3 linked regions of the Coturnix japonica genome follow. The protein of the gene in region 1 interacts with the protein of each later gene in a biochemical or structural test. Links are inferred from orthologs where the notes say so. Each region holds a gene or a part of one and is shown on either strand. Other genes may lie near its edges.

The links. The genes of interacting proteins can lie anywhere in the genome.
Region 2: the proteins of MTOR (region 1) and STAT3 form a complex in vitro, tested with the Homo sapiens proteins (2 studies listed by BioGRID, with this or other methods). The link is inferred for Coturnix japonica from reciprocal best matches to the Homo sapiens genes MTOR and STAT3.
Region 3: of the proteins of MTOR (region 1) and EIF4EBP1, one has a biochemical effect on the other in vitro, tested with the Homo sapiens proteins (29 studies listed by BioGRID and IntAct, with this or other methods). The link is inferred for Coturnix japonica from reciprocal best matches to the Homo sapiens genes MTOR and EIF4EBP1.

The regions. Positions count from the first base shown.
Region 1 is NC_029536.1:3,567,288-3,570,847, reverse strand, and holds part of MTOR (serine/threonine-protein kinase mTOR), read left to right. Parts: coding exon 1-128; intron 129-433; coding exon 434-608; intron 609-778; coding exon 779-914; intron 915-1,501; coding exon 1,502-1,649; intron 1,650-2,333; coding exon 2,334-2,456; intron 2,457-2,726; coding exon 2,727-2,809; intron 2,810-3,560. UniProt on the Homo sapiens protein: Serine/threonine protein kinase which is a central regulator of cellular metabolism, growth and survival in response to hormones, growth factors, nutrients, energy and stress signals.
Region 2 is NC_029542.1:4,519,722-4,523,775, reverse strand, and holds the start of STAT3 (signal transducer and activator of transcription 3), read left to right. Parts: upstream 1-1,214; 5' UTR 1,215-1,342; intron 1,343-4,054. UniProt on the Homo sapiens protein: Signal transducer and transcription activator that mediates cellular responses to interleukins, KITLG/SCF, LEP and other growth factors. Once activated, recruits coactivators, such as NCOA1 or MED1, to the promoter region of the target gene.
Region 3 is NC_029537.1:3,620,582-3,624,892, forward strand, and holds the start of EIF4EBP1 (eukaryotic translation initiation factor 4E-binding protein 1), read left to right. Parts: upstream 1-1,471; 5' UTR 1,472-1,546; coding exon 1,547-1,694; intron 1,695-4,311. UniProt on the Homo sapiens protein: Repressor of translation initiation that regulates EIF4E activity by preventing its assembly into the eIF4F complex: hypophosphorylated form competes with EIF4G1/EIF4G3 and strongly binds to EIF4E, leading to repress translation.

The sequences.
Region 1 (3,560 bases):
GCAGAGATCTAATGGAAGCTCAAGAGTGGTGCAGGAAGTATATGAAATCAGGAAATGTCAAGGACCTAACCCAGGCTTGGGATCTCTATTACCACGTTTTCAGGCGTATCTCAAAGCAGCTGCCTCAGGTAGGAGGAGAGGTGCAGTTCTGTTGTGGGGCTTACAGTGCGTGTTGTCAGTACTAATCTCTGTTTAATGTTTTTTGGTTATTCAAAACGTTCAAATTCAGTATTCTAGAATTAACTGCTTTTAATTTGCTCACAAGCTTCCTAGGCTTCAAGTTTTCTACTTATGCAGCCCTTTTGGCAAGTACTGAAGTATTGACAGCTGACTGTGAACTGTTCTAGGCTCCTTGCCAGCATGAACTCTTCAGATGTTTAAGTGAGATTTAACTGAAATGCTTGAAGAGTTGTGTTTCCTCTGTCTTCTGTAGCTCACTTCTTTGGAACTACAGTACGTGTCACCAAAACTCTTAATGTGCCGGGACCTGGAATTGGCAGTGCCAGGAACGTATGATCCCAACCAGCCCATCATCCGCATTCAGTCCATTGCACCCTCACTTCAGGTCATCACCTCCAAGCAGCGGCCCAGGAAACTAACATTAATGGGTAATAGGAAGCAGTTTGTACTTTGCTATTCTAGCATTTAAACAGTTGGTTTTAGTATGTCACGTAAAACTTCTACATCTGCCAAACTTCTCAGTTCTTCTGTGTCCTTGTGTTTACTCTTTAGTGTTTTCTCAGCTAGAGTAAACTTTTCCCTATTGATCCTTTTCCAGGAAGCAACGGACATGAGTTTGTGTTCCTTCTGAAAGGTCACGAAGACCTTCGTCAAGATGAAAGAGTGATGCAGCTTTTTGGGTTGGTCAACACTCTGCTAGCAAACGACCCAACTTCTCTTCGTAAAAACCTCAGGTATGTGTTGGGGATGGTTACTGAGTGTGCTTATGCATGAGTGACATCCAACAAATGTACAGGAAACCCTGGCATATCCAGTTGGTTTGTAAGGAAGTGATGAGTATTGGAACTAAGCTGATTTGAGTATGTGAGAGAACATCCATTCATAGACTGAAACTTGGAGGAAATGTTTTACATAAAACAAAAACTTCCTCAGTGTACAAGTTCTTTCTTGTGAATTGTTAATAGTATTTGAGATAAACACTATTTCAACATGGACTCCTAAGGCAGCACTCAAGCTGAGAGCAGGCTTTTTATCAAGGATTTTTTTAAATTATAGTCAATAAACAGCTTGATCAATGGTCACTGACTGCAGTTCTGTACATTATTGTTCAAACATCAACATACCAAATGTTGTGTGTGAATTATAGACATTCATGGGTCACATAATCTGAGCCTTCTAGAAGCCGTATTCCTGCTTAAACCACATCAGCCATCCAAATGGATGTTCCGGGTCTGTCTGGGTTGGGGGGGAAGGTTAAAGTGTACTGAGTTATAACATAAAATGATTTGAGCTCTGAATTTCCATTTTTTTTTTCCTGTAGCATCCAGAGATATGCTGTTATTCCACTGTCCACAAATTCAGGCTTGATAGGTTGGGTCCCCCACTGTGACACACTGCACGCCCTCATCCGAGACTACAGAGAGAAGAAAAAGATCCTGCTTAACATTGAACATCGCATCATGCTGAGGGTAATGGGCAAAAGTAGCAAATTTTTTGGTACATTCTTTTAGGACTCCAGTGTCGTAGTGAAGAACAATGGTGCACACACTCTTCCTACTTTACCTGTTTTCTGATTGCTGTTATCAACAGTAAGTGCAAGAATATCAGTTAAGTGTTCTAAAATGCTACTAAAAGGCAAAATTGGCCATAAATTTATTTGTTTCTCCTTTCCTGTTTTAGCAGTGACCATAAGTTGTCACCATCTGGAGACTAAAATGTGTTTTGCATGAATATGATGTGTCTTACAGAAGGTGTCATGCTGCTGGCATTTACAAACATTGTGACTAGGGAACGTGGCCAAAGTTAGACAGAATGGAGAAACAGAATGTTACTAGAGAAGGTGGAATTATCTGCCAGAAAGGAACTTGTGTGCCAGCCCAGGAAGCGCTTTTCAGAACCTATTTACCTCAGCAGTATTTTAATTAAATATGGCTATGGGCTATTTTTTGGATGTGAAGTCGTTTCCTATCCTATTTCACCCAAGTTCTTCACTGTAGTTCTCATACTATGTTTGGGAACATACTGGTCAGTCTGCAAATAATACTATATCACGTTTATCTTGCAATTATTTGTGATTACTGTGTTTCTCATAGTACAGGGAGGGGCTACTGAATGTCTGTTCTTAATTGCTTAATGTTGCTTCTCAATTATAGATGGCTCCAGATTATGACCACCTGACTTTAATGCAGAAGGTAGAAGTGTTTGAACACGCTGTCAATAACACAGCTGGCGATGACCTTGCCAAACTGCTGTGGTTGAAAAGTCCGAGCTCAGAGGTTAGTTCAGCACATGTACTGTTTTCTCTGCAGAATGTGGGAGAAATGGGTGTACCTGCACATCACAAACTTCAAATGAATTCCTACAGAAGGTGTTTTTAACACAAACTAATAAAATTTGCTGCTTTGTGAGACCTTTCCCTGCTTGGAAATTAATGATTTTGAGTGTTTTTCACATTCCAAAATACAGCAGTTATTGTATAAATTAAAACGTAAGCTGAAACATGCAATATGTCTGTCTGACTTCTTCTATTCTGCCTCTGCTTGTAGGTGTGGTTTGACAGAAGAACAAACTATACTCGTTCACTAGCTGTGATGTCAATGGTTGGGTACATTTTGGGTCTTGGGGACAGGTAAGTAATATTGCAAAGGTTTTCGTTTGTTTTTTTAGATGAAAGCAGACTGCAGAGACCTCTTAGTCTGTCCATTGAATCTGTTGTTACAATAACATCTTTCGGTATGGATATGGCTGAGCTATGATGATACCATCTTTATGGATTTCATTGCGCTGCTGTTATTTTCAACACTGCAACATATGACAAGAGTTTGTGCATCTTGAGTACAAATAAGAGTTTCTTCTGTTCTATTCTTGAGCTTAAAGGCTTTTATAATGAAATTTAAAACCTTTGAAAATTGGATTAAAGCAAAATTGGAACAAGTCAGCACGAATAACAGCATCTTGGTTTCTGTTAGTCAGCTCTGATTCTCTTCTCTTCTGGTAGTAATCCAATTTGCGTTACTTCACTTGCATAATTCATTGTATTTATATGCTGAAAAAAAAATAATGAAAAAAGATTATACAAACCTAAGAACTTATCCTAACTGGAAAATAGATGTTCATATCCAAGAACTGTACTGATGGCAGTGATCCAATAGGTTGTTTGTCTTCCATGATGAGATAACATCTAATTCCTGAGAAGTAATTACAAAAGTAATGTGATAGATGCACTGTCAAGGAAGCTGTTCTGTTCTTCCCGAGATTGAAGACCGCAGACAAGCAAGCTGTCACTGGCTGTTCTCATTCATGAAGATAAATATCATTTCAGACTAGAGCTGTGATTTACTTTATTTTTTCTTAATGACCTGTCAATCTGCTTTTTCTCC
Region 2 (4,054 bases), on another chromosome or scaffold:
CAGAGCAGCCCACGCCAGCCGAGCTGCCTTACAGAGGAGCCTGGGATGTGCTGGTGCTGTGGGAGCGCCCGGCTGGCAGCGAGCAGCCCCGACATCCAGCACATCCGGAGCGTTTCGGAGCGTCTCCTTCCTCCAGGGGTCCTGGCGCGGCTCCGGCTCGTGCCCACGTCCTGCACTTCCCCCCCCCCATTCTCCCCATTTCCCCTCTCGGTGCCTTCGCTCTGTTGCTGTAGTTTCACACGCGGCACCGCCCGGCTCAGCCCGCACCGCTCTCACACGCAGCCGCCGCCGGCAGCGGGGCAGGAGCGGGCAGGAGGCTGCGGCCCCACGGCTGCACGTGCGGGATGTGGGTGCGCGGGGCCGGTGGGATGTTCCCGTCCCGTCCGCCCGGCGCTGCCCCACGTGCCGTTTCCTTCTGGCCCCGCTCCGCCCCGCGCAGCCGTGTCCGCTGCCGCCGTACCCACGTATATAAACTCGCTTTTCCTCTCTGACCGTTCTCCCTCTCGTTGTCTGACGCCCCGCGGCGCTGCCCTGTGCCCGTGGCTGCGTGTCCCCGTTGGCGGCGCCGTGTCCCGCTCGGTGCGGCGGAGCTGCCGCCCGTCGGTCGCAGCGCGTTGGACAAAGCTCAGATTGTTTTGTATGACTGCATCCTGGTGAGCAGCACAACTAATAAAGGCTGTTTTGTAACGGAGCAGCATGGCGCCTGCTGAGCAACGGGACGGGGAAACGGCCTGAATCCAGCACGGGGTGGGCTGGGGTCGGACAGTCCGTACCGGGGGGTGGCCGTGCCCGGCCCGGAGCTGCGGGATCCCATTGCTGGGAGGGGGGGGGGTGTCCCCGCAGCGCGGACCGGGCGGTGCCGGGCGCTGACCCGCATCGCTCCGCGCGGGGCCGCTGCTGCGCTCCGGGAACATCGGGGGGTGCGGCCCCTTTAAGAGGCGGCGGCGGTGGCGGGTCGCGCGGTGACGTCACGGCGCTGCCCGGAACTCAGCGGGTTTCCCGCACGGCTGTTCCCGGCAGTTGCCACCTCCCCCCGCGCCGCCCCCTGCCCAGCACCGCCCCGCGGCGGGAGGCGGCGCCATCCGGGAACAGCCGGCGCGGGGCAGCGCCCCCAAGCGGCGCCGTCGCGATCCGTGACGTCACCTCGGGACGGCCGCGCTGATTGGCTGTCGCGGCCCGTCCCTCCCGAGGCGGACGGAACGCCGCGCCGCCATTGGCTGCGCCCCGCGTGACGTGAAGGGGGGCGGGGCCGGGGCTGCGGGAGCCGCAGTCGGGAACCGGGAACCGACCGGAGCGCGACCGTCAGCGGCACCGGGAACCGCCGGCACGGCCGGAACCGACGGTGAGAGTGAGATGAGTTATGGGAAACCGGGGAACGGAGCGAGAGGGAACGGGACGGGACTGGGAGGGAGCGGGGGGAGCGGGGCCGGGCCTCGGGTGCGACGGGCCTCAGCACGGGACGATCGTGGAGGCCCCGAAGCTGCTGCACCGACAGAGCCCGGCACTGAGCCCCGAGCGCGGGGAGCTGAGAGCGGCGGGACCGACATGGCGGACACTGCGCCGGGTGCACGGTACAACGCCTGGGCTGGGAACATGGAGCTGAGCCCTGCGGTCCGGTGTGTGGCAGCGCCGCGCTGTGCCGGGCCGTGCTGTGCCGTGCTGTGCCGTGCTGTGCTGTGCCGTGCTGTGCCGTGCCGTGCTGTGCCGTGCTGTGCCGTGCTGTGCCGTGCTGTGCCGGGCTGTGCTGTGCCGTGCTGTGCACTTTGAGAGCCAGAGCACAGCGGGGCAGGTCGCTGCCGGGGCTGGGCTGTGCTGTGGGGGTGGCTGTTATCGCAGCGGAGCTGCACCGTGGGCACTGAGCCCCGTCCAGGTGGCTGCAGCGCTCTCAGGGTGTCTCAATGTTCTCCCTCTGCTCCCTCTTCCTGTTGGTGAAGCCCCTGTAAGTTGTGTCACAGGGGGATGCTCTCAGGTACATCCAGGCACACAGAGCCCATCGTGGGGCTGTTTCCCTCAATGGCAGCACTGCTCGATTGTGGCTGTTGGGGTACGTGGAGCTGTGGTGCCACTGCTGAGCTCAGGCTGTCGTGCTCTGCCCTTGCAGGGAAGCTAAAGAAAGATGAACTTTAACTCTGGGGCTACTTTTAGCCGCTCTGCTCTGAGCTCTGCACAGCTTGTTTACCTCAGCGCTTGCGTCATGCTGTGCTCAGCCCCGCTCACATCAGTTGCTCTTTGGCTCTTCTCCAGCAGTGAGAGATGAACCACGGAGGCAGCAAACCCATCAGCATTGTTAGGGCTCAGCCCTCAGGCTTTTAAACCTGCCCCGGGAGCTTCCCCACAGCAGGATGGGCTGCAGAGGGATCTGTGTTGGGTTTTGGGCTGGCGCTGTGGAAGGTTTCATAGAGCAGGTGGTCAGGGGGTCACAGAGCATTGGGCACCACTGGGAGGGGTGAGCTGCAGTGAAGGAGGAGAATCCTCTTCCTGTCTCCTTGCTGCTCCCAGACGTTCCCTCCCTTTCCTCATCCTCCTGTGACTGATGGGTTGGCAGCCGCCATCAGCCGCTGCAGCAGAGCTGTCCCACTTGGCGAGAGCCCATAGCGCAGCACATTGTGTGGATGCTGTTCACAGCCCTTTTCCTGTGGTGGCGTGGGGGGAGTTTGTAGGTCAGGAGCCCATTAAGCTGAGGGGCGTAAAAACTCAATGTGGTGTTTGTGTCTGTGCTGATATCCCTGGAGAAAAGGGCTGAAAGGACCCATGGACCAGCAAGCAGTGAGCGCAGCTCAAGGCAGCAACCATCCCCACGGGCTGCTTCGCTCCCACAGCACTGAGTCCTTTGTGGTGCCTCTTATTGTACTGTGCGTATGTTCTGCAGCCACTTCCTTCATCACTTTGTGTGCCTGCGCTGGGAGGAGATGCCTGCAGTGGGATGAGGCTGAGCAGGTTGTTTTGCTTTGTGCAAGTTCTGTTTTTCAGGGATGAACGTGGCTGAGCACTTTGCAGGGCAGCTGCTGCTCCCTGGGCTGCACACAGGGTGGTGTGCAGGGACTTCTCCTTCAGTGCTGTACGGGTTTGGGTTCAAACACGGCCCAGTGAGACCCAGAGCAGAGCTTTGCTTATGGGAGACCTGCTTGGATCAGGGCAGTGCAGGGCGGGAGCTGCGGATGTCGGTGGTTTGTGGATTCTCAGCTCTTGGCTGTGTGTTTCTTGCTTCATTTCCCCCCCATCATGTTTCACACTGTGCTGGCAGCCTCTATAGCACTCAGCTAAAAGCAGTGTGAGCACCTGGGAGCGCTCCCTGTGCTGTGCCTGGTGAGCAGCCATGGGGTACAGCAAAGGGCCCGGCCTGTCGTGGTGTGAAAAGAGAAGTCCTGGGGTCACACACGTGTCAAACAGAGCCGAGTCTTCCCTCCAGTCTGACAGAATGTCTGTCTCCTTACAGGCTCCTGTTTCTCCTCCTCCCTTTCACCTATTGCTCTGTTAAATCCAGGCTTTGCTCACATGATCTTCTCTAGAGATTGCACCAGGCTGTGGTTCAAGGTTAATGTCCTCTGGATGCTGCTGTCAGCTGGGCTGCGCAATGCCACAAAGCTCTAAAAAGCAGCTTAACTCCTTGTCGGGTGCCAATCAATGTGTGTCATCTCCCCACGTCTCATGGTGGGGCTGATTCCCCTTTTTCTCCTCTAAGAACTATCCACAGAAATAGAGGAGGGGTCGCATACAACAAACACCAGCTGCTCTGGGGGGGACCCGGGGCACAGAGCTGTGGCCCCCACATCTCCCCCCCAGTCAGTGCCCATCTCCAGTGCCTCTGGGACAGCTCTGGTGTCAGCCATGTGCCAGCCCTGTGCCTCCTGCTGACGTGTCACTTGCTGGGGTTGCCTGCAAAAATCAAACCACTTTCTGGGGGAAGTGAGCCCGTGGTGAGGCTCAGTGGTGCTGCTGTGTCTGTGCTTCCTGCACAGCTTGCTGTCGCTCCTTCGGCTGACTCTGACTCCTATTGATGTGCGAGCCGCTCACTTGAAAATTGCTCCTTCCTCGTTTCTGTTGCTTCCTGGCA
Region 3 (4,311 bases), on another chromosome or scaffold:
ACTTTGATCTGCACAAACAGCCCTTGGGCGGGCAAAGTGGATGTGGGTTTGGCGTTATCTGCACTGGTGATCAGAAAGGAATGTAAACACGGATGGGGTGGAAATGTCAGCAGCACAGAACACCCCCCCCCAGCTGCCTTCCCCTTGGTGATGGGTGGGTGTCATGGGGCACCCGTGAAGAAATACCCAAGATTTCATGACCCACGGGGGTGTGTTTTCCACACACCATAGCAGGGAGCTGCCTCAAATGGGAGAGTGCCAGAGGAGAAAGATTTTCACAACACCCCATTCCTGTTCCAAAGGCAACGATTCCCACCAGTGGCCAAAACAGCAGTTGCTGGGGAGCGTGCAGAAGGGACCTACAAATGCAGTTCTGTTCCCAGTTAGGAAGGCAATAAGGTGACAACCTTCTATCATATGAGGATGATAAAGGCTTTCCAGCTCTTTTGAAGAGATAAAATGCCCCCAGAGATGAGCACATTGTCACCAATGGATACTGCCAACACGAGCCGATGCTCCTAAAGTACATACCATGTTTCCAGTGGAACTACTGCTGATGTATTGCTGTACTGTATTAATGTATTGATGTATTGATGTATTGATGTATTGATGTATTGCTCCCTGCCCTGGTCCAGGTACCTTTTCCCCCTTCTCTCTCTGCCTTTTTATCTTGAGTCCAAGTGGGAAATGAATGGCAGGGAGGGATGAGGAAGGACCATTGTTAGGACTGTGCATTCCTGAGGCTGCTCAGTGCCAGCTCCAACCCTGCAGAGATATTATCAGCACACACAGGACGGACATTGCTGCCAGCCCAGAGCTGTGCCCTGTCCCTCTGCTGGGGCTGGGGGCTCCCTATGACTTGATACCCCATAGGATACAAGGCACCAGGGGATGATAGCCAGACAACACAAGGACTGTGGCCCCAATCAGGATGTGCCCCAACAGCTGACCTTCCCCCACAGCTCCTTGACCCCATAATTATCTATGAACAGAAGGAAATGGCCTCAAGGCTTCATTAAACCTCATTGAGTCGGGGGTCAAGGCTGATGTCAGCCAGCAAGGATGGACATGGTGTTTTCCTATCCAGAACACAGTAATTGATGCAGCAGACAGCAGGGAGAGCAACTGGGCACCAGCACATGCAGGGACAATGGGAGAACTGGGAGGACTGGGGGGTTCTTGAGCACATTGGGGGGTTACTGGAAGAACTGGGGGGGTCACTGGAAGCACTGGGGGGGTCACTGGAAGCACTGGCAGCACAGTACCCTTATAACACCCCATTACTTTCTCATCCTGCAGCACCATACGGTACCGATAAGGGGCACCGCAATCACGGCACCTCTCTATAAGCCCCGCCCCCAATGGCCTAAGCCCCGCCCACCATCTAAGCCCCGCCCCCATTAGGCCACGCCCGTATTCACATAAGCCCCGCCCACTAACTAAGCCCCGCCCCTTCGTTTTCCGGAAGGGGGCGTGGTTTACACCGGAAGCGACGGGCTGGCGGCGGGTAGGCCGCAGTAGCAGCAGCAGCCCGTGACCGGGCGCCATGTCGGGCCGCTGCTGCCAGGGACAGACGCCGAGCCGCGATATCCCGGGTCCCGGCAAGCGCCTGGCCCTGCCCGACGGAGCACCGCTACCACCCGGGGACTACAGCACCACGCCGGGGGGAACCGTGTTCGGGACCACGCCGGGCGGTGAGAGACTGGGGCCTGTGGGGCTGGGGTCCAGCTGAGGGGGCCGGTGTGGGTTGGGGTCTTTGGGGGGGGGGTTCTACATTTATGGGGTCTTTGAGGGGGTGGTTCCACCTTTGGGGGGGGTACCTCCTTTATGGGGGTCTTTGGGGGGGGTTTCCACCCTTATGGGGGTTTTTGAGGTGGGTTCCATCTTTATGGGGGTTTTTGAGGTGGGGTTCCACCTTTGAGGGGGGGTTTCCACCTTTATGGGGGTCTTTTGTAGGGGGGGGTCCACCTTTATGGGGGTCATTGAGGGGGAGTTCCACCTTTATGGGGTCTTTGGGGGGGGATACCTCCTTTATGGGGGTCTTTGAGGGGGGGGCTCCACCTTTGTGGGTGTCTTTGAGGGGGGGGATTCCACCCTTATGGGGGTCTTTGAGGGGGGGGGTTCACCTTTATGGGGTCTTTGAGGGGGGGTTCCACCTTTATGGGGTCTTTGAGGGGGGGGTTCCACCTTTATGGGGGTCTTTGAGGGGGGGGTCCACCTTTATGGGGGTCTTTGAGGGGTGGTTCCACCTTTATGGGGGTCTTTGAGGGGGTGGTTCACCTTTATGGGGGGGTTCCACCTTTGTGGGGGTCTTTGGGGGGGGTTCCACCTTTATGGGTTCAAGCTGAGGGGGCTGACGTGGGTTGGGGTCTTTGGGGGGCGGTTCCTCCTTTATGAGGGTCTTTGAGGAGGGGTTCCACCTTTATGGTGGTCTTCGTGGCCTAAATAGGGCCGTGTTGGGTTGTTGGGGCGACCCTCCCGTTCTCAGGTCACAGGGTGGTGTTCATCTCGATTGGGACCGTTCTTGAAGCTGTTCTAAGAGTGCAAACCTAACGAAGGCAGCATTGTGTTCTATGAGCCCTCCAGGCATCGGTTCTCTTTACAGCATTGAGATGTTGCTTGGGTTAAAATACAGAGAGAAAAGGGGAAGTCGGCGCTGCTGATGCAGGCAGTGTGTTTTGGGTTGGTATTATTTCTGCCACGTCTTCCTTGCCATGCAGGCAGCAAATAGCTGAAAGCACTTATATAGCGCTCACAGTCATTATGTCATGGAAGAGAGGAGATACAGAATGCTTCTCAGCCTGTAGCTGAATGGAGATGGATAATAAGGCTGCAGTGCAGCACGACGAGCCCTCAAGGGTTATTGCTTGTTTGTGCTGCGGAGTTAATGAATGTCCAGAGTGTGGAAGGAAAGCACGGAGCTGTTTGCTGTGAGGGTGTGCAAGGTTGGCAAAGCCCTGGGTTCTCCTGTGACAGCACAGTGCTTCCTTGCCTGGATCCCAAAGGAGAGAATGGTTTTCAGCCCCTTTCACAGCAAACTGCCTGTGTTGAAGCACTGAAGGTGCTGGATGTGAGCCAGCTCAAGCCTGGAGAGTACCAGCAAATGTCTGCTGAGGGAAGCATGAGACTTCCTGCAAAGCTGTTGCTGAAGTCAGGAGGAAGGAGCAGATCGTTTGCTGTAGCAAATAAGAGAATAACTGAGCACTGGCATCTCTGTAACCCCCTTTGCCTGCAGGCAGGGCTTGGCTGAGGGGTGGAAGCAGAGCTCAGTGCCTGCACTCTGGTGATCTGCAGGCTCAGCAAAGGGATGGTTGGGTGAGGAGAGTCCCTGAGAGCACAGGAAAAAGCTGATTTTCCTGTCTGTGGGCAGCAGGGGTTTAAAAAAACACAGTGTAAGGGAACGAGGAGCGTGTAAGAGGTAACGTGACCTTTCAGCATAGCCTGTTCTTTGGTATTCCCTTCATGCTTGCCTTGGCACCACGCCCTTTGCTGAGGGCACACATTGTCTTTCCCCAAGCCCACGTGTGCCTGAACAACATGCAAGCTGCAGCAGAACTGCTCTGTTTGCTCCAAGCCTCATTTGGAAACCTGCACCCCTCTGACACCCGCTGCTGCCCGTCTGCTTGTGCTGCTGTGGGTGTCAGCTTTCGCTTGCACTGGGCACGTGAAACAGCAGATGAATGCATGGGAGGCAGAGCTGTGCCTGCCCGTTATGGACTGTGCTCCTGATACTTGGTACACGAGCTGCAGTTCTAGGAACTGCTGTCCTTGCTCTCGCAACCTCCCTGTAATTTAACACTTAGTGCTCAGGCTAACAGTTGTCCTTATCGAATCCAGGCCAGCTGCCGTGCTATAGTACTGAATTGGATTAGTTCCCCTCCTTGATCAAGCAGAACAACTCAAAGTATCTTATTGGAAAGTGCTTTCCATTGTTTTGGGAACTCATTAGCAGGATGTCCTTGAAAATGTAAAATACTGTTGTTTGGGGTTTATTTAACAGTGCTTCAAAACAGAGTGAGTTTGATGTTGCTGGGCAGATGTTATTGGAGTTTGTTTTGCTATATTTGAGCACTGCCTGAAAAGCTTTAGCTCCAACCAGTTGCTTTTCCCTTGTGCTGGGAGGGAAGCAGAGCAGCAATCCAACAAGGCGGTTTGCAGCATTCCTTCTAGGGGAATAAAAAGGATGTTTGTCAGGAATTCTTGGATGAGGGCTGTGGTCTGTTTGGAGGAATCCATTTTCTATGTGTGTGCTTTTGAGTCTTTTCCAGCACCAGTTCCTTTTCTAGGAATGTGCTGTTCATCCTGGTGGTG